4 linked regions of the Drosophila melanogaster genome follow. The protein of the gene in region 3 purifies or fractionates together with the protein of the main gene of each other region. This does not show direct contact. Each region holds a gene or a part of one and is shown on either strand. Other genes may lie near its edges.

What was found.
Region 1: the proteins of CG18744 (region 3) and mRpS22 purify together in Drosophila melanogaster (affinity purification with mass spectrometry, with the first as the bait; one large-scale study listed by BioGRID). This does not show direct contact.
Region 2: the proteins of CG18744 (region 3) and U3-55K purify together in Drosophila melanogaster (affinity purification with mass spectrometry, with the first as the bait; one large-scale study listed by BioGRID). This does not show direct contact.
Region 4: the proteins of CG18744 (region 3) and Cdc5 purify together in Drosophila melanogaster (affinity purification with mass spectrometry, with the first as the bait; one large-scale study listed by BioGRID). This does not show direct contact.

The regions. Positions count from the first base shown.
Region 1 is NT_033777.3:27,914,944-27,918,779, reverse strand, and holds mRpS22 (mitochondrial ribosomal protein S22), read right to left. Parts: upstream 1,873-3,836; 5' UTR 1,779-1,872; coding exon 597-1,778; 3' UTR 532-596; downstream 1-531. Other genes in the region: Boh1 (buddy of Hmr 1), read left to right, coding at 1-522; CG5003 (uncharacterized protein), read left to right, coding at 2,352-2,632, 2,718-2,988, 3,047-3,169, 3,223-3,384, 3,438-3,836.
Region 2 is NT_033778.4:14,858,344-14,862,634, reverse strand, and holds U3-55K (U3 small nuclear riboprotein factor 55K), read left to right. Parts: upstream 1-1,876; 5' UTR 1,877-1,995; coding exon 1,996-2,049; intron 2,050-2,099; coding exon 2,100-2,926; intron 2,927-2,987; coding exon 2,988-3,185; intron 3,186-3,242; coding exon 3,243-3,379; intron 3,380-3,435; coding exon 3,436-3,674; 3' UTR 3,675-3,790; downstream 3,791-4,291. Other genes in the region: Pcf11 cleavage and polyadenylation factor subunit, read left to right, coding at 1-440, 514-1,253; CG33506 (uncharacterized protein), read left to right, coding at 4,039-4,211, 4,271-4,291.
Region 3 is NT_033777.3:7,796,548-7,800,631, reverse strand, and holds CG18744 (uncharacterized protein), read left to right. Parts: upstream 1-1,860; 5' UTR 1,861-1,884; coding exon 1,885-1,996; intron 1,997-2,292; coding exon 2,293-3,261; intron 3,262-3,323; coding exon 3,324-3,475; 3' UTR 3,476-3,554; downstream 3,555-4,084. Other genes in the region: CG3014 (uncharacterized protein), read left to right, coding at 647-1,026.
Region 4 is NT_037436.4:357,350-362,981, forward strand, and holds Cdc5 (cell division cycle 5), read right to left. Parts: upstream 4,035-5,632; 5' UTR 3,780-4,034; coding exon 3,735-3,779; intron 3,666-3,734; coding exon 3,400-3,665; intron 3,341-3,399; coding exon 1,896-3,340; intron 1,837-1,895; coding exon 1,148-1,836; 3' UTR 1,051-1,147; coding exon of another isoform or gene 682-1,050; 3' UTR 502-681; downstream 1-501. Other genes in the region: CG1231 (uncharacterized protein), read left to right, coding at 1-110; Roc1b (regulator of cullins 1b), read left to right, coding at 682-1,050; CG1233 (uncharacterized protein), read left to right, coding at 4,309-4,350, 4,404-4,992, 5,078-5,632.

The sequences.
Region 1 (3,836 bases), about 20 Mb from region 3:
TGCGGCGATGTGGCCAAAACCTTGCTGGAGCACCAGAGCCACATGACCGCGCACTATGGACCTGGTGCTCTGTGCTTTCGCTGTGGTCAGCGTCTGGACCACCAGAAACAATTGAAGCAACACAGTCTGAGCTGTCCCGCTCTAGCGCCCAGGAAGTCATCGATGCTCTTTAAATGCCCACATCTACTCTGCAACGCCATGAGCCACTCAGAGATGCAGTTGCTCAGGCACCTGAGAAACCATAGCGGCAGGAAGTGCTACAGATGTCTTCAGTGCAAACGTTACTTCAAGACCACCACCTCTCTTTTGGTACACCGAAAAAAAGAACAGAGTTGTGCCAAGGCGAAAGTGGTCGTCCTATTTCGCGAACACAACGGGTTGCCCAATGGAAGAGGTGATCCCAGACGTTGCTCAGTTTGCTTGAAGCGTTTCAGCAGCGAGCGGGTATGCCTGCGGCACCGGAGACAGTGCATCCTTGGCCATTTTAGACGGCTGTCCAGGGTCCTCAAGAAGGAGCTATGAACAGCGTATAGAAATCTTGACCTAGCTGGTATTTATTAGTACATAGAAATCGATAACAATAAAGCGAATAGATCCTACGAAGCCTGGACGCCGTGAGCCTTTTTCAGTCCCTGGAACAGCATCAGTTTCTCCCGGTTAACTTCCTTAAGCGTCTGCACCGCCAGCTCCAGTTGCACCTTCTTCAGCGCATGTTCGCTGGCGATGTACTGCTCAATGAACTTCAGGCTGATCTCATCGGCGGCGAAATCGTGCTCCGTCTTGCCAATGGCCGTATGGATCTCCTGCTCAATGTTCTGCTTATTGTCATGTCGTCGGAAGACGCTTCTTAGCTCCGCCAGGGCACTTTCCGCCGGCGTGGCATGCAGTTTGCCCAGTTCGGTCAGCGTTGCCTGATACTCCACTGGGATGTTGTGTAGCTTGTAGCTCAGAGCAATCAGCTCCACGGCATTGTGCAGATAATCCCGACGGATCATGTCATACAGCAGGTCGTCGATGCAGCGGTGCCAAGCGTAGAAGAAGGCCATGGGTCCAAAGTGGCGGGTGGAGCGCAGAAGATCGAACTCCTTGGACTCGTTGAGATGCTCGAACACACGCGCTGAAATGTTGTGGAACTCCGGCTCATGTGGCTCGTACTGCACCAAGAGTCGATCCAGGATGAACTCGTACTTGTGCTCCGCCAAGCACTTGGCCAGCAGCTCCTCCAGCGCGAACATTCGTGGAGTATATGACTGGCGACCCTCCAGCGGGAAATACAACTGGTTCATGCGCTTCGTGGTATCAAGAGTGGCGTAGGCCAAGGTTCCGTCCATATCCCGGACGATTACCTTGCGTTCCGACTGCCGTCGGCCGAAGGTGATGTCCGTGAATACGAACTTGGAGTTGGCGAAGTCCTTCAGCGCCGTATCCTTGGCTATCACCCGCTCCACATCTTTTTTGATCTGCACAATGGGTGGCATTTGCAGAATTTGCTGAGCCCGCACCACCAAGTTCTGGAACTCGTTGTCCAGCTGCTCGTTGCTCATGAACTTCGTTTCGCTGCTGTTGTCCGGCACCGTGCGCTTCCGATACACCTTGTCCAAGTTCAGTTGCGTCATGGACTGGAGCAGCCGCTGGGTTTCGGCATCCGTGAAAAGCGGCTGCGGATCGCGCTCGTACTGCAGGGCGGCGGGCTTGGTGGGCGCCGAGGACACCTGCCGGATAGCTTGGCGCACTCCTTGGAGGCCATTCAGCTGGCGCAGGCTCCGCAGCAGGTGCATTTTCAGTCAGTAAATCAGGCACAAAAATACACGAGACGGGTGTAGAAATTAGTGAGGGCAGCACGGTGTTTTCCAACACTGCTTGCTAGTAATGACAACAGGAATCTTATTTAATTTAATGTGTTTATTCTATTTGTATAATAACTTTTTTAATGCACATGCACATGCGTAATGCGCCTTATTTTTAAATTTCATTCATAATATGCAATATTTGTTTGAAATAGGAAAATAGCAAAATAGGCAACTTTATTATCTACATAAGAATTAAACGATTATTAACTACTTGTTATTGTTCCCATTTTACCAGACGACTCAATTGTATAACTATGAGCAGCTAGTGCCACCGCCTTTAGTATCAAATCGTAATAATCAAGAAAAAAAATAATATAATAATAAAAACGACATTAAAAATTACCGGGAAATTCGGAAGCCAGTTTCATCTCTTCGACATAGGAATACCCCTACTAGCGGCTTATCTCGGGATCTGACTGCGGTCACACTTGACCAATTGCATTTAGCTGGAAAAAAAGCTGCTGGCGAAAATTGGCAATAAAGTGCAGGAGCAGCCCAAGCATGGAACAGGCCGAATTGGGCAGTACGTGCCTTGCAGCGCCTAAGCGCCGCTTCCCGGACAACGAACGTTGTGGGCGGGAGCTGGCCGCCGTGCCCGTGCAGCCAGTGCTGCCACAAATCCCTACCGAGGAGGAGCCGGAGATAAAACAGCGCAAAAGGGAGAAGGAGCATAAGGAATCCCTCGACCGGGAAACGGAGTGCAACCTCATGGACTTCTGTGATGAGCTGCTCTTCGAGATCTTCCAGTACCTGGACACGTCCTCCATTCTGGCGGTGATGCAGTAAGTAGTCCGCTATCAACAAAGATCTCTGCGTCGCTGAGATTTCCATGTCCTTTCCATATTATAACATTCCGTAATATTCCAGTTGCTCGCCGCGCTTTGAAAACCTCCTGCTGGATCACCGCTTCTATCATCACATAGACTTAAGCAACGGGCCCCTGCCTATGGGCATCCTAGAAGAGATTCTTGGACGAGCCACCGAAAAGACACACACCATTAAAATCTGCGGACCTCCGTCCTCGCAGCATGTTGCAGGCGAATTCCGCCAGTTCACCCAAACGCTAAGCTCCGTTTTCCCCAGGGTTGTACAGCTTAAAGTGCTGGAGCTGGAGGGCGTCAGCCTGGACTTCGAATACGTGAGTGCTGGCATCTCGCAAGTTTCCCTGGTCTACCCCAATTTTATCTTTTCTTCAGATACACATAACTGAGTTCCCGGCCACTCTGAGGCGTCTGAAGCTAAAGGACTGTAGCGTTAGGGTCGGCGACACGCCAAAAAGCATATTTTACTCCATAGAGCTGCATCTGCTTGATCTAGAGGTGAGTTTGAGCGAACGACAGTCCAATGAATAGCCTAACCCCGTCTTATTTAGGATCTCAGTATTGAGGACAACAGCTGGTTCGAGCCCTATTATATTATGGGCCTGTCGAAGTTACCTTCCTTGCGGCGTCTTAGTCTTAAGGGCTGTCAGGCGCTATGCAAGTTTGTGCCCTATGGCAGCATGGCGGCACGTTTCGGTTTCCAAAAACTAGAGGTTGGCATAGGTGCAATCGGCGAATATTCTTTATAAAGGGTTATTTATTTCAGTCACTAGATCTTCGCCAGACGCCCATCAACAACTCAGATCTGCAGTGTTTTAGCGCTATCGAGAATCTCAAGGAACTGCTGCTTGAGTCGCCACAGATCCTGCACTCCAAACAAGCCGTTGCTAAAAAAAATACCAACGGCAACGCCACTGACGAAGCTGCTTCCCCGCAGCCTGATTCACTGAAAGTGCTTAGCGATGACGAGCCGTCCACATCGCGGGCCGCCATGGAGCATCTGCGTGCATGCAAGGTTGCGTTCAATTTGGACAACTGCAGCGATAGAAAGGAGGAGAAGTCGCCGGTGCCAACTGAGCCTCCTTCGGAGGGTCAGGATCTTCAGGCGAAACGAATACGAGCACCATCAGAATCCGATGATGAGGACACATCATCCACCTCAGGG
Region 2 (4,291 bases), on a different chromosome or scaffold from region 3:
CGACGATGACGATGTCATTGTGCTGCCCAATGAAGAGCCAAGTGTCACGGAAATCGTCGACGACGACGATGAGGACGAATACGTTCCGGGCAATGTGACACGTGCGGACATGGGCAACGAGTCACAGGACAAAACAGAGTCCAACTCCGAGACCAAAGAACCGAAGAAAGATCAGGTTGAGCTCGGTGAACAGCAGCAAAACGAATCGGCCAATGAATCGGATGTCGAAATCCAAGAGCCGAACATTCCTTTCACGGATCTGGACACTTATGTGGAGAAAGAGATGGATGAGGCGACCAGGGCGGCGCTACTGAACGTAAAGATCAAGGAGGAGCCCAAGGATGAGTATGAGGAGGACGAGGATGATGGATTCGAAGACGTGGGCACGGTGGTTTCACTTTTACCTCTGCCCGAGGACGAGATCTCCATACACAGCAGCGGTAAGTTTCTAAACCTTTAACTGTCCTGTCCTCAGTATCACATTAGTTGCTCAATCATCTGGCATCCTGGCAGAAACTCAAACACACACCATCGGCTCGTCAGCCTCGCCGGCCACCATCGAGCGGCCAGCATCGGTGACCTCGCTCTCCCTGCCCGCCAATGAGGCGGACGAGTTGGAGCAGGGTGATGCAAACACCGATACGGATGCGGAATTGAATGGCGAGAAGCAGGAGGCCACGCATAACCTGAGCGCAGTGGGTCCGGCGTTACCTTTGGCTAGCATAGTTAATAAAATAAAGATAAATATCACTAAGAATACGAGTAGTAATAGTCATAATAGTGCCTCCAACACCACGACAACGGACTCGCAAGTCTCGGCCATAAGCGTCATCGGTGGATCAGGAGCAGCTGGCGGTGCATCCGGAGCAGGAGACCCTGTCCAGCAGGTGAATGCCATTCAAACCATTTCCACCATTCCAGTGCTGTGCGGCGGCAATACGTTCGTGCCCAAGATTGCGACCAGCACGCCCTCAAACGTAATCAGCTCGATCTCGGTAATTGGCAGCACTTACGGCGCAAGCAGCAGCAGCAATGGCAGCCGAAGCACTACTTCCACCGCATCCTCCGCACCAGCTGCTTCGCTTTTGGCGGAGACGGGCAGCCTGAAATCGCCAACTCCGCCGCTCGCCACAGTTGATCCGGATCCGGAGCCCGTCGTGGAACAAAAGCCGGCGCTGCGGAATGCCACGCTGAAGCGGACGAAAAAGGTGCAGAACGGCATCGAAACGTCGGGCCTGTGCTCGATCATGTAAATCAAATCGGCCGTCTGAGTGGAGGGACTTGGCGATATTCCTAATACGTTTTTACTACGATTACTTTTACACGTTACTTAGTTTTAGATAGCCAACGGAACGTTCTCCGCCGGAGAGCGACGCCTCGCCGCGATCTGTAGGTATTCAAATCCTTTTCGATGCGGCGCGCTCACATTCGTATACATAAATTATTACCGAAAAGAAGAATAAAAACCACTTGCAGAATAACATAAATTTGTGATAAATTTATAGCACTAGCAAGCCAAACACATTACTTTGACCACCAACAACAAGCTTAACTAATATGTAATTTTTTTATGCCCATTGGAGGAAACAATAAACAAAATGAATTCAAAAGCACATACTTAATTGATTTAATTATGATTTTTAGTTGTTAGTTGATTAATAATCGAAATATAACAAATAAAGATATATATTCAAGCTATAAACCGTGGTTTTTTTATTTGAAGCTGTTTTTTCGATTTTCAATTTACTTGGTTTAATTTTAATAATTTAAATATTCTGCCTTGCGTATAATTTTTGCGCCAATTTTAGGGTGGCCGTGTTGACTCGCAGTTTCATAGCATTCAGCCTGTTGATGTGCACTCGCCAAACAGCTGATACCACAAAAGTACTAAATTTGGACACGCGCCTTATATGCACGTGGAGACGTTCCTTCGTTTAAATTAAGTTTTTTATCAAAAATATTGAATTAAAGCCGCGCAACTAGTTACTTTCCACGATGTCGTCCTCTTTCTTCCTCAAGCCAGGCGCCAAGGGCACCAAGAAGCGCAAGGTAAGTGAATCAAGCAGCGTAGAGAGCGGCACCTGTAACGCTTTCAACAGAATCCCGCAGCAACAACAAAAGGAAAACCGCTTAAGAAAGGCGGAAAACCGGGTAAATCAACGCCCGCGGCTGGTGGACCAGTGCCAAAGAAGCAGCGCCGTCCCAAGGAGGAGGACGAGGAGATAGCTAGCGACGATGAGGAGTACAACAGCGATCTGGGCGGCGATGACAACACCTTGGCATTTTCATCCGACGAGGGCGAGGAGGAAACGCCGCAGGACAAGCGCCTGCGTCTGGCCAAACAGTATCTGTCGGAGATCGAGAAGCAAGAGGCGGAACGCGCCGAGGATCGGGAGCTGGCCCAAAGCGTGGAGCAGCGCTTGCAAACGGAATACTTGGATAGCGTGGGCAAACTGCGCCGGAACATTGCTGGCAGCCTGAAAGCCTGCGAATCGAGCCGCATCCTCAAGCACAAACTCCACCACACGCCTATCTGTGCCCTTGCACTCAGTCCGGATGGTAAATTCCTCTACACGGGAGCCAAATCGCAATTCCTACTTAAGTGGTGCACGGAAACGGGGAAGGTGCTGGAGAAATCGGACGTGCTGTCGCATCGCGAGGAACCAGAAACGGGCAAGAAAAGGCGATCGCATGTCATCAGCATATGCCTGTCCTCGGACATGAAGTATCTGGCCTTGGCCGAAGGTGGTCCACACATTCAAATTTGGTGTCCCCAGACGATGAAGCACATTAAGACTCTTAAAGGCCACCGGGATAGTGTGGCAGGTCTGGTCTTTCGCAAAGGCACACATGACTTGTACTCGGCAGCCAAGGATCGATCGGTGAAAATCTGGTCCCTGGATGAGATGGCCTATGTGGAGAGTTTGTGAGTACTATGCTAGTTAATCCCCCTTAATATCAGACATTTAACGAGCTCCTCCTTTCAGATTCGGTCACCAAACGGCAGTAACTAGCATAGATGCACTGAGTCGAGAGCGCGCCATTACCGCTGGCGGTTCGGATTGCTCCTTGCGCATTTGGAAGATCACAGAGGAATCGCAGCTGATCTACAATGGACACAAAGATAGCATTGAGTGCGTTAAGTACATCAACGATGAGCATTTTGTGTCTGGTGGCATGGATGGGTAAGTTGGGAGTCTGGCTAACTAATTCAGTATGGAAGTAACAACACCATTTTACAGAGCAATCGGTTTATGGAGCGCTTTGAAAAAGAAGCCCATTTGTACAACGCAACTGGCGCACGGAGTGGGCGAGAATGGCGTGGCCAACTGGATAACCGCCATTGCTGTGGTGGTCAACACGGATTTAGTGGCAACAGGTGGGAATTGCGCATATTTCTTACTGCGAACTGTAATTAAATATTCATGATTCTAGGTTCTTGTGACGGTTGCGTCCGTCTTTGGCAGACTAATCCCAACGCGCGTAAAATGAACCTAATCCAGAGCATATCCATCGCCGGCTTCATCAACGGACTGGCTTTCAATGCCGATGGCAGCAAGCTGTTTGTGGCCACCGGACAGGAGCACCGCCTGGGTCGCTGGTGGCGACTCAAGGAGGCAAAAAACCAAGTAGTTGTACTCGACGTTAAGTTACAGAGCGCGGCCAGCAGTTAGGTTAACTTCTAAGCTTAAGTAAAGTTGTATAGTTTTTGTAACAAGAAACGGCCTGAAAATATATACATAAAGATCATTTGTATCTTCTACCTGAAGGTTCTTACTTTCAAACATATAAAATTTATTTGTTCTTTATAAACAAGATCAAACGAATGTTTTTGAATTTATTAAATTTGCTTCAGATTGAAATTTAACTCCTTATATTAAAGTAAGGGGTATCTGGTCGTCTATTTCCATTAGCTCAAATATTTTTTCTAAAACCGATATTCGGTTTGTTATAACCGCAAATGGTTCCTTAGTGTTGGCTACTTTCAATAGCTAGTCATGGTCACACTGGCCCTGTTACAAAACAATAAGTGCTGAAATGTTGCCGAAATTAAAAACCGGTGGAGGGTTCTTCTCCTATTTTAAGACTGAAAAGGGCCGAAAACTCGTATTCTACGCGGCGGGAGCCACCACAGTGGGCCTCTTTCTTGGAAACTTCCTGCCGCACACATTCGGCCTGAAATATTACCGCGATTTCGTGCAATGCTACCAGTGGGTGAGAAAACTTTTGGTGACTGGAAGCGATTCTAACATCCCACTTCTTTTCATAGACACGGCGTGGGGCGTCCAGT
Region 3 (4,084 bases):
GTTTAAAAAAAAATCTAACATGTTATAAAATATTATTTATAGCACGACACATTTCATTTCACCTAGGATTTGGTTATATGTTGCTTTAAACTTCAATTGTAAGTTTCTGTAACAGTTGCTTAGGATAGACTTTAAATTCATTGATTTTAATTTTCTCATTGTATAGAAATAGTAATACCCATCGATTAAATTATTTCTTTTTGAGAGATGCAGTTCTATTCGTTTTTCTCGACTATCACATTCCCGTTACAGTTCAACATTTTGTTGTGATATCGACACAAATTGTATAGTAAAATTATATCACTTACAGTTCCTGAAGTTTTAAAAAATGTTAGACGGAAAAAACTGCCAAATCAAATCACATGTTGCATATTTATTTTTTTAAAACTCCATAAAATCATCTAAGGAGTATACATATTTGTTTTTCATGCATGTAATGTTAGCTGAATTTTGAATACAAATTTACAAAATTTAATTGGTTAATCGCTTGGTTAATTTCACTATTATAGTAAGGTAATAGTAATAGTACAGTATAGTAAGGTAAAATATAAGGTAGTTCATTTAATGCAACAATGGCAAGGAAAATCCTTCAAGTCCCTAACATTGTTATAAAACTTAAATAGCTTATCAACACTTCCATTCGCAGTTCCGCCCTCCTTCAGTTTTGCTACCCTGGCAGGAAGTCAGCAAACATTAGGGAGTAACGCCGCAGTGGTCCTGCAGCGGATCCACTTGCCCAAGTTTCCTGGATTTTCCACACTCATTGGGACAGCTCCTGCTCACGGAATGGAGGACTCTGGCCTGGACATGCACATGTACAGGTCGTACGGATCGCTTAACACGGATCACACAGGTCGGAGTCTGGACACTTTCGGATCCCTCTGTGGTCCACTGTCCGAACATGTCGAGGAGCAGGAGCAGGAGGCAGAAGAGAACCTGGATGTGACTGCCCAGGTGCATCGGCCGATTCAACGGGCAACGGTTTCGGAGGTCGAGAACGTCCTACAGGACGAGCACCTGTTCTAATGGAAAAGTGTCTTATATACGTATTGCCAACCCCAGTAACAAGTAACATAAGTGTTCAAGACTAAGGCTTATAAAGGATTTTTAGGCCGGGTCCTAGTACGTCGTCTAGTTTTAGTGAGCTTTCATTGCGCAAATTTGTACACTCGCGTACCATCCAAAATTGATCGAATCGAACTTATTGAGTGCCATAATCTCCTTTTTCTAGTATACCTATAACCGCTTTTATACATCCGTCAAACATTTTCGATTTAAATATGTAATCGACTCGATACATATACTAATTATTGTAAGTACCAATTAATGCGTTCTCAAGTGGACAATAAATAATTGCAGTATACAAACAATCAGTTTGTGAATTGTATTTTGTGTTGCGTGGGGATGGAAAGATATTTAAACGAATTCTTGAAAGTTTAGCGAAATATTTGCTTATTGAGTTAGTGGCTTAAAACGTTTGAATGTGAACCAAAATTATTACGTAGCAAAATTGATGAATGTATTAAAATGAAAGGTCGATAACTTTTTCTTGGCTATTTACAGAGAAATTGTACTCATCACTGGTCTTGCGAGTCCTTGAATCCGTCATATAAACGAAGTTTTCGCACATATGTAGGCTACACCTGCCATCGGATGTAACGTATTTTAATTAAATTACAAATTGTTTGGTACGCGATAGCACTCCTCACCCGGCATAAGATAAGATATAGCTCTGGTGATAATAGCCATGGTAGTGGTACCATTCACACCTAGTATATCCGATAAGGCCGCGTCCAGTCCTGTTCTTAATGGGCGGGCATGTTGTCAACAACTGCCAGACATCGGTTAGCAGTCGAGCCGTCAACAGAGTCCAGAGAGCTGAAAATGAGCCACCGCTGTGAGATCCAATTGGACAACCCACGGGGGGTCTATAGGGCCGGCGATACGGTCAATGGTCACGTCTATCTGACCCTTTCGGAGCGGGCCCTAATCAAAGGTAGGTTGGAGCATGACTCATGGGCTATCCCGTATAACATGGCCATCCAGTGGCGCTGATTCACCGATCGAGATCTGGTTTCTTTTATGGACTTCCAAATTGCTGATAGTGTTTGTCGCACTGAAATCAAATTGCTAATACCTTTCAGTGAGCTTATCAACTACCAGGCAAATTTGATTAGTAACTTTTCATAATCGGAACTTGAAAAATATTTGTGCAAATTAATGTGGTATACTTATAAATTATAATAATCTTCATAAATCGTTAATTCTTTTGGCTTATGCTCTTTATTTCAGCAATATGCCTGGAGGCCAATGGATATGCGAGCACTGCCTGGCAGCAGCCCCAAAAGCACAAGAATCAAAAAAAGAACGAGCAGCCAGTGGTGGTTCAGAGTTTGGACTTTGATTATCGCGTGGATTATTTTGCCAAAATCGATTATTTTGTGGGCTCGGAGGCCGCACAGCCACAGATAATGGAGGCGGGCACCTACAATTACGGTTTCCATGTGAAGCTGCCCAAGAACTGTCCGGGGAATTTCGAGGGGGGCCACGGACACATACGGTACACACTCCAAGTGCTCATCCACAGCAGTGCAGATCGTCCGCTGGAGGTGCTCCATGTACGCCAGCTGCAGATTTTCCCGCAGAACTCTCTGAGCCAGGAGACGCGGAGCTGTGAGATCCAGATCTATGAGCAGACTCCTCGCCTTAGATTCTGGATGAAGCCACTTCATCTGCAGCTCCAGATTCCCAGGCAGGGTTATTCGCCAGGAGCAGGTATTTCTGTTCACTTAAAGCTGCATAACCCGGAGAAATTGACACTTCGCGAGGCGGTGTATTCCCTCGTTCAGATCAGCACTTACGTTGCCCATCTAAAGAATAAGCCCAAACGCTTGGAGACCAAGGTGGAGCGACAAACTGTCCTAAGCAGCCGCCACGAGCTCCACAACCTCCCCCGTGGAGAACTGCAGAATTTTCAGCATCTTCACATGCTGCAAGTGCCACAAACAGCGGCCACATTGACTGTGGCAGGATGTGCCTGCCTGCAGCTCAACTACGAGGTGGAGGTGCTGGTCACAACTCAGCAGGAAAAGCGCTTAATTGCGGCCCGGATGCCGGTCATCATTGGAAATGTGACGCCGCCCTGTCCTGGCAAACTCCTAATGCAAGAACCCATTGATGGCACTGCTCCGGAACCAACTCCTCCAGTCGAAACAGCATCAACATTGATTCCGAATTTTAGCATTTCCACCACATCTTTGGGTACGTCTATTCCCGATTTATAGAATATCCGTTTGCATTTTATATTTCGAATTTCTTTCTAGCTTCGAATTTCCGGGAAGCCGAGTTCATGGTAGCCACCAATCTGAATAAGACCAACAAACATTACTTGTCCGGCGAACAGTTGGATTTTAGACCACGCTATGTCTACTACGAAATGGACCAGACTCAATCGGAGGAAGTGAAGTCTCATTAAATGCACGCCACTATTTTATTTTACTAATTTATTTCATTCACTAGCAAAATTACACAAATATATATTATTCCATTATCACAAGTGGTAACTGATACTTTTACTGGTGGCAATTTTAAATCAAGGGAATGATTTATTTTAAGAATCAATATCATATACCTAGAACGATCTTTTAACGCATTCACTTTCAAGTACCAATTTTGAAATTTTGTTTATATTTAATAAAAGAAATATTGATGTGTGGGTATTGATAAGTAAGTGATAAGTATTGATAAGTGTGTTCTATGTGGAATCGAGAATATTAGCGATGTGATTCGATATTGTTGACTTAATTAGAAAGGATTTGCATAGAATCTGATTTATTGCCCATTGCCCAACAAATATATTGTAGTTGAACCTACAGATAGAGTTGGATAATTCGTCACATAAGTGCGAGTGTTACGCTAAGAATTTCGAATTTAAAATATATTTTCAAGGAAATTTTGTTCATTGATGACTTTCTAAACTAGAAAATTTGGTTGGATAACTTATATATATTCCTAAGATTTAGTTTCACGATAAACGGTTAAACTATGTTTATTGGTAACATCCAAAGCTAAATCAAAGTAAAAT
Region 4 (5,632 bases), on a different chromosome or scaffold from region 3:
AGCCCTGCAACATGATGATGAACCATGAGAGCACCTTGCAACAGCACTTTATTGGCAAGAAGCACCTGAAGAGGGTAAAAAACCTTTCCCAAACTGAGAAGAACGTGTAAAGAATTTATTTGATATACCCTAAGCCTAAGCCATGACTTCCCGTTAGCAGTAAAGCTTCCTTAATAATAATGACATTCGAGTTTGGGAAACAGCTATTTTGTTTAAGAAAGGCATTATAAAAACCGTAATTTGTTATCATACCCATTACTCATAGAGGGGTATATTAAACTCGTTAAAAGGAATACAAATTTCTATCGATATGCCAAGATAATTTTGAAATTTCTCTCTCAAACTCACTCCCACTATCTGGTATCTGATAGTCGAGAAATTCGACTATAACATTCTTTCTTGTTTAAAAAAATTGTCTAAATTTAGGGATTCAAAAGTGGTTTACCGATGATAAGCTTTCTTGAGCCCCACTTAATATGATCACAAGGTTTAATTTCTTTTCTGCATTTATTTTTAAAATTATTCGCCGTTGTTATTTCGTAGATAAATCGGTAGTGGTCAACTTTTTTTTATTAACTGTCAGGCCAAAAACAAATGGAATTTAAAATAGTTCAAATCAAATTCGAATACGAAAATAAGTGTTGTATTTTGAAAAAGAAAAAAAATTCGTAATTTCACACCATGGCCGAGGAGATAGAGGTTGAGGAGACGGAGGACTTCCACGACATGGACTTCAATGACGAAGAGCCATCCTGTAGTGGAGGAGCTGTCCAGGCCAGGACGGAGCGCTTTGTGGTGAAGAAATGGGTTGCGCACGCCATGTGGGGATGGGACGTAGCAGTGGACAACTGTGCCATCTGCCGTAACCACATCATGAACCTGTGCATCGAGTGCCAGGCGGACCCGAATGCAAACCAAGACGAGTGCACTGTGGCTTGGGGCGAGTGCAACCACGCATTCCATTACCACTGCATCGCGCGCTGGTTGAAAACGCGCCTGGTCTGTCCGCTGGACAACAAGGAGTGGGTCTACCAGAAGTACGGCCGCTAGCGAGGAATATGGATCGGGATATTAGGTGGTGATAGCTGTTTGCTGGCATGTAATTACTGTAATTAAATAAGAACGGACTTGGGTTCCAAAAGAAGGTTTACGCTTCCTGGTCGGGCAGGAGTTGCTGGGCCGTGGGCCTGACGCCAGTTATATGTTCGATTTGAGAGTAAAGCGAATCGCGCTCCTCCACTAAGCTAGCGTACTTTTGCTGCAGCTCCTTCTCGCGGTCCATCTGGCGACGCACGTCCTCTTGCAGCGATTCCAGGCGTCGCGGCACAGCGATGGCCTCCTGTTCGCCCAAAAAGCGGAATGTCGAGAGTGAGACAGAGTTCTGCTCAATCTGGCCGTACGTGTCCTGAAGCTGCTTAATCAGCACCTGGGCGCGCGCCTGGTAGCCGCCGGTGAGAATCTTCAGCTTCTTCTCGATCTTGCCGCAGCGCTTGGCTTCCTTGGCCATGTGGCGGCGATTTGTCTCCAGCCGTTTCTCGGCAGACTCTAATCGATCCTTCTTGCTGGCCAAATTGGCGCGTGTGTAGCGATGTTGGGAGGGTAGGTAAAGAACCTGGCCGAGGCACTCCTGCCACACCTGGGCATAAACGTCTAGGGGCAGTTCGCCATGCGCCATGCGCTCCTTCACCACCTCCATTTCCTCGGTGAGCATTTGCTTGGCCTTCGCCAACTCTTGCTGCGAGATGTCCTCGTAGGGATTGGCCTTAAAGTAGCTTTGTAGCTGTTCCAACTTGTGCTGCGATTGACCAGGCACGGGATCCTTGACCGAGTCGTACACTGCCAAGAAAAAGGACGTTAGTTACTTGGGTTAAAATGGAAACGTTGGGTTTACTCACGCTGCATGGTGATCATTTCGTGTTTAATCAGCTCTTCGGCCTGCTGCTGTTCCGTAAGGTTCTGTTTCTCGGACTGCGGTCGCAGAATCTTGGTGTTCACTTCAGTTGGTCGCGGGAGACTACGCTGAATAACCTGGGAGCGCTTCTCTAGCTCTCGCTTTCGGCGCGCCTCTTGTTCAGCCAATAACCTGGCGTCGACATCCGCCTGATCCTCGACGGCGGGTTCTGAGTTGGTCTCAATGCGTTCGCTTTCCTCCTGCTCAGGCACCACGATCTCATAGTCATTCCGTGGAGCGGGCAGCGTGGAGAGACCGTCACGCAGTGTAGACTTTAGTTGCTTTTGGTAGTTTTTGTAATGTGCTGGGGTCTCGGTGACGCCCATACTCTCCTCAGGATTGATGCTTAGCTTGTCCCTCACGTAGGCAGGTGTATTGACGACACCCGTAGCCCCTCCTGCCCCCTTTACGGGAACTAGGGCTCCGGAGGAGGGCGTTTGGAATCCGCCGGGAGTGGCTGCTCCGCCCTCGCGTTGGGTTCTAAACGGCGTGGCAATCACTGTGTTAGGCGTGGCGATGGAGGCCGCCTTGGGCAGCACGCCGGAGAAGTCTGACTCGTGCAGCGGTGTGTTCAGGCCACCTTTGAGTGGCGTCTCTGTGTGGGTGAGGGCCATCATGTTTTGGGCCTCCTGCATGATGCGATCGGTGTACGGAGCCGGAGTACGTGGAGTGGCTGCTACCTGGGGTGTAATGGAGTAGTCGGCTAGCAAAGCATCCGTCGTCTCTATGCCGCTCTCACCGGCAATTTCCTTTGCCATCTCACTGGCGCGTCCCAGCTTGACTACCTGCTGTAGTTCCATGTCGGAAATCTGCGGCGTAGGCAGGACTAGTTTGGAGCGCTTCCGCTCGGGCTCCATGTTTTGCAGCATTGCGGTGGGCACTTCATTCTCTTTGCGCTGCTTCAGCTTCTGCTTGTCCCGCTTGCGTTCGCGTTCCTCCTTCTCTGAGCGGAGTTCTCCATCTAGGTCCTGCTGCCGCATCTTGTTGAAGTCGGGTTCATTTTTCTGCAAGTGTTCCTCGGAAGTGTCGTAGAATCCGTGGGCAGGTCGCTTTTCGAAGGGAATCTCGGCGTTGTAGTCTATTCCCTTGATCCGCTTGCGATTTCCGCTGCCAATTCCGGCGGCACGAAGTTCGCGCCGCTTTTGGAGAGTGGCCAGGCGGCGGGCTTCCTCCAGTTGCTTTTCGCGAGCCTTGCGCTTGGCTTTCTTGCCTTGCGTGTTGGCCAAGCGGGCGCGTGCCTCGGACAGCATTTCCAGCTCGTCCTCGTCCATGTCCTTGGGATCGGGCCGCGCCGGCTTGGTCTCTGGATTGGGGTCAATCTCTCCGGGCTTCAACTTGCGAGGATCATCCATCGTGTCCTCGCCATCCTCTTTGCGTTGGGCTTGGTCTCTGTACGGCAGGAAAGGGATCAGAAATTTTCTACTTAGTATGTTGTGCGTTGGACTCACAGCAAGTACTCATAGCGCTCCAGGCACTGGGCTGCCGTCCGTCCGATGATCGGGGCTATGGTGCGCCACTGCGTCGGCATCAGCTTGGCCAAGTGGAGCAGTTTCTCGTCCTCCTCACGGGACCACTCGGTCTTCTTGATGCTGGGATCCAGCCACTCGTACCACCTGGCCTTGCACTGCTTGGCGGACTTTCTGTGCAGGAGGGAGGCAATTCGACTCCACTGGTTCTTGCCATATTTCATAACCGCAGCTTTGAGGATTTCATCCTGGGAAAATGAAATCGGTAGCCAATGTAAGCCATGTGTGGTTAACCGATAGACTATTGGGATAATTACCTCCGTGTTGCGCCACACGCCGCCCTTGATCATTATTCGCGGCATTCTGGGGCCTTATGTTGCTTTCTGTCGCGTATACAATGGATTTTCACAATTTTCACTCGAGTCCACGAAACTCCGCTCTTTTTTTTGCAGTAGCCGCTAGCGATGGTTAGTCTTCGATAACAGCGATATCTCCAGCACGTTTTGGTATATTTATAGAACCTCTAGTTAAACTATTCTAGCTTAGTACAAAAAAATTTCATTATATTGTATTTAGTCTTCGTATACCGTTTGATTTAACTTCGGTCTTAATATTGGTAACTTAAATTATTCAATTTAATAAAGGGCCTATACACACGACATAACATAACGCGACAGTGTGACCGAATATAGTTGTGCAAACACCGCTGCCACACTGTGTACAGCAACAGCTGTTCGCTATCAGTTATTTTGTGATGAAAAGTTTTTTTTCTGCGTAATGCCAATTTTTGTGATGCGGAATTAAGAGGCGTGTGCCCAGGAAGCGGAAAACCGGCAACCGGCAACCGGAATCCGGCACCGGGAATCAACTGGACCAAGGAAGGCACCCACGATGAGCGATGCGACCTATCCGGGATATTACGGCGGCAACCAGGTGAGCAACCAGCGAGTACCTCTGGCCAGAAAAACACGCCGTGTGTCTTCCAGCTGCTCCCGTTGTCGCATCCGCATCCTACACATCCGCACCAAGACCTGTCGCTTTCCACGCCGGTTCACTCCTTGGAGCAGGACTCCAACTTCGGGGGATTCTTTGACGAAGAGCTGGTCATCGGATCGGGATCCGGATCTGCCTCCGCGTCTGCTGCAAACACCACCCCTTCTGGAACTACTTTGTGGCTGGCCGATGGCGGGAATCGATCACCTACTGAGGTGGCGGTGGAGTCCCAGCCCAATCAGGGCATTCCCTTTGTCCAGATCCACACCACCGACTTGCAGCAACCAGAGAAAAGCTACCGCAATGCCTTCCGCAGGCGTACAGCGGAAATTAAGTCGGAGGAACTAATCAAGTCGGAACTTGCGGAAGCGGCAGCCAAGGATCGCCTGAATGCCACGCCAACGCCACCAACTCGAAATTCCAGCTGCGCCAGCGTGGAGGGCAAGGCAATCATTCAGGAGGGTCCGCCTCTTATCCTGCGCTGTCCTAATTGTCCATTCTTAAGCCTCTGCCAGATGCGTCTTCAGCAACACCTTAGTCAGGGCAACTGCTATATGGAGCAGCACAGGAAACAGTGTCCAGGTGAGGCATAGTGCGCCTTCAATATGAGTGCTCTGCTGGAATGCTTCATCATATTTGCATTCACTTTTCACGTGTTTTTCGACAGGCTGCTCAAACATTTTCTACACCAGCGATGCGCTCAGCTTGCACCTCAGCTTGGACCATCAAATGGAGGACAGTGAGACACTTGCGCTTATGGGCAGAAAAGTCACTGAAGCACAAACTAAAAAGCAGACTCAGATGTCGCAGAGCCAAAATCGACCCAAGAGCCGCATCTTTATAAAAAGCGTAGATTGCCTAAGGGAGCCACTCCCGGATTTCCCGCCCTTAATGCCGGATAGCGGGTCCGCCGCTAACATTCTTGATCTGCTGGAAGGTGTGGCTGTAGGTGCATCGCCGACCGAACAGACAATGCCAACAGCACCTGCTGCGAATTTACCAGCTCCGCCGCCAAAGCCCATCCAGAAGATCTCCATCAAGAGCGTGGACGTGCTCAGGGAGACCGCTTTGCTGCCGTTCGACTTCCAGCTGCAGAACCATTCGGTCAATACGGACAATAGTCTCCCTGAAGTTCCTGATGTTGTCGGGGAGCCGGAGAAGCCGCGCCAGCCGAAGATTTATATCCGCAATGTAGACATCCTCAAGGAACCGATGGTTTTGC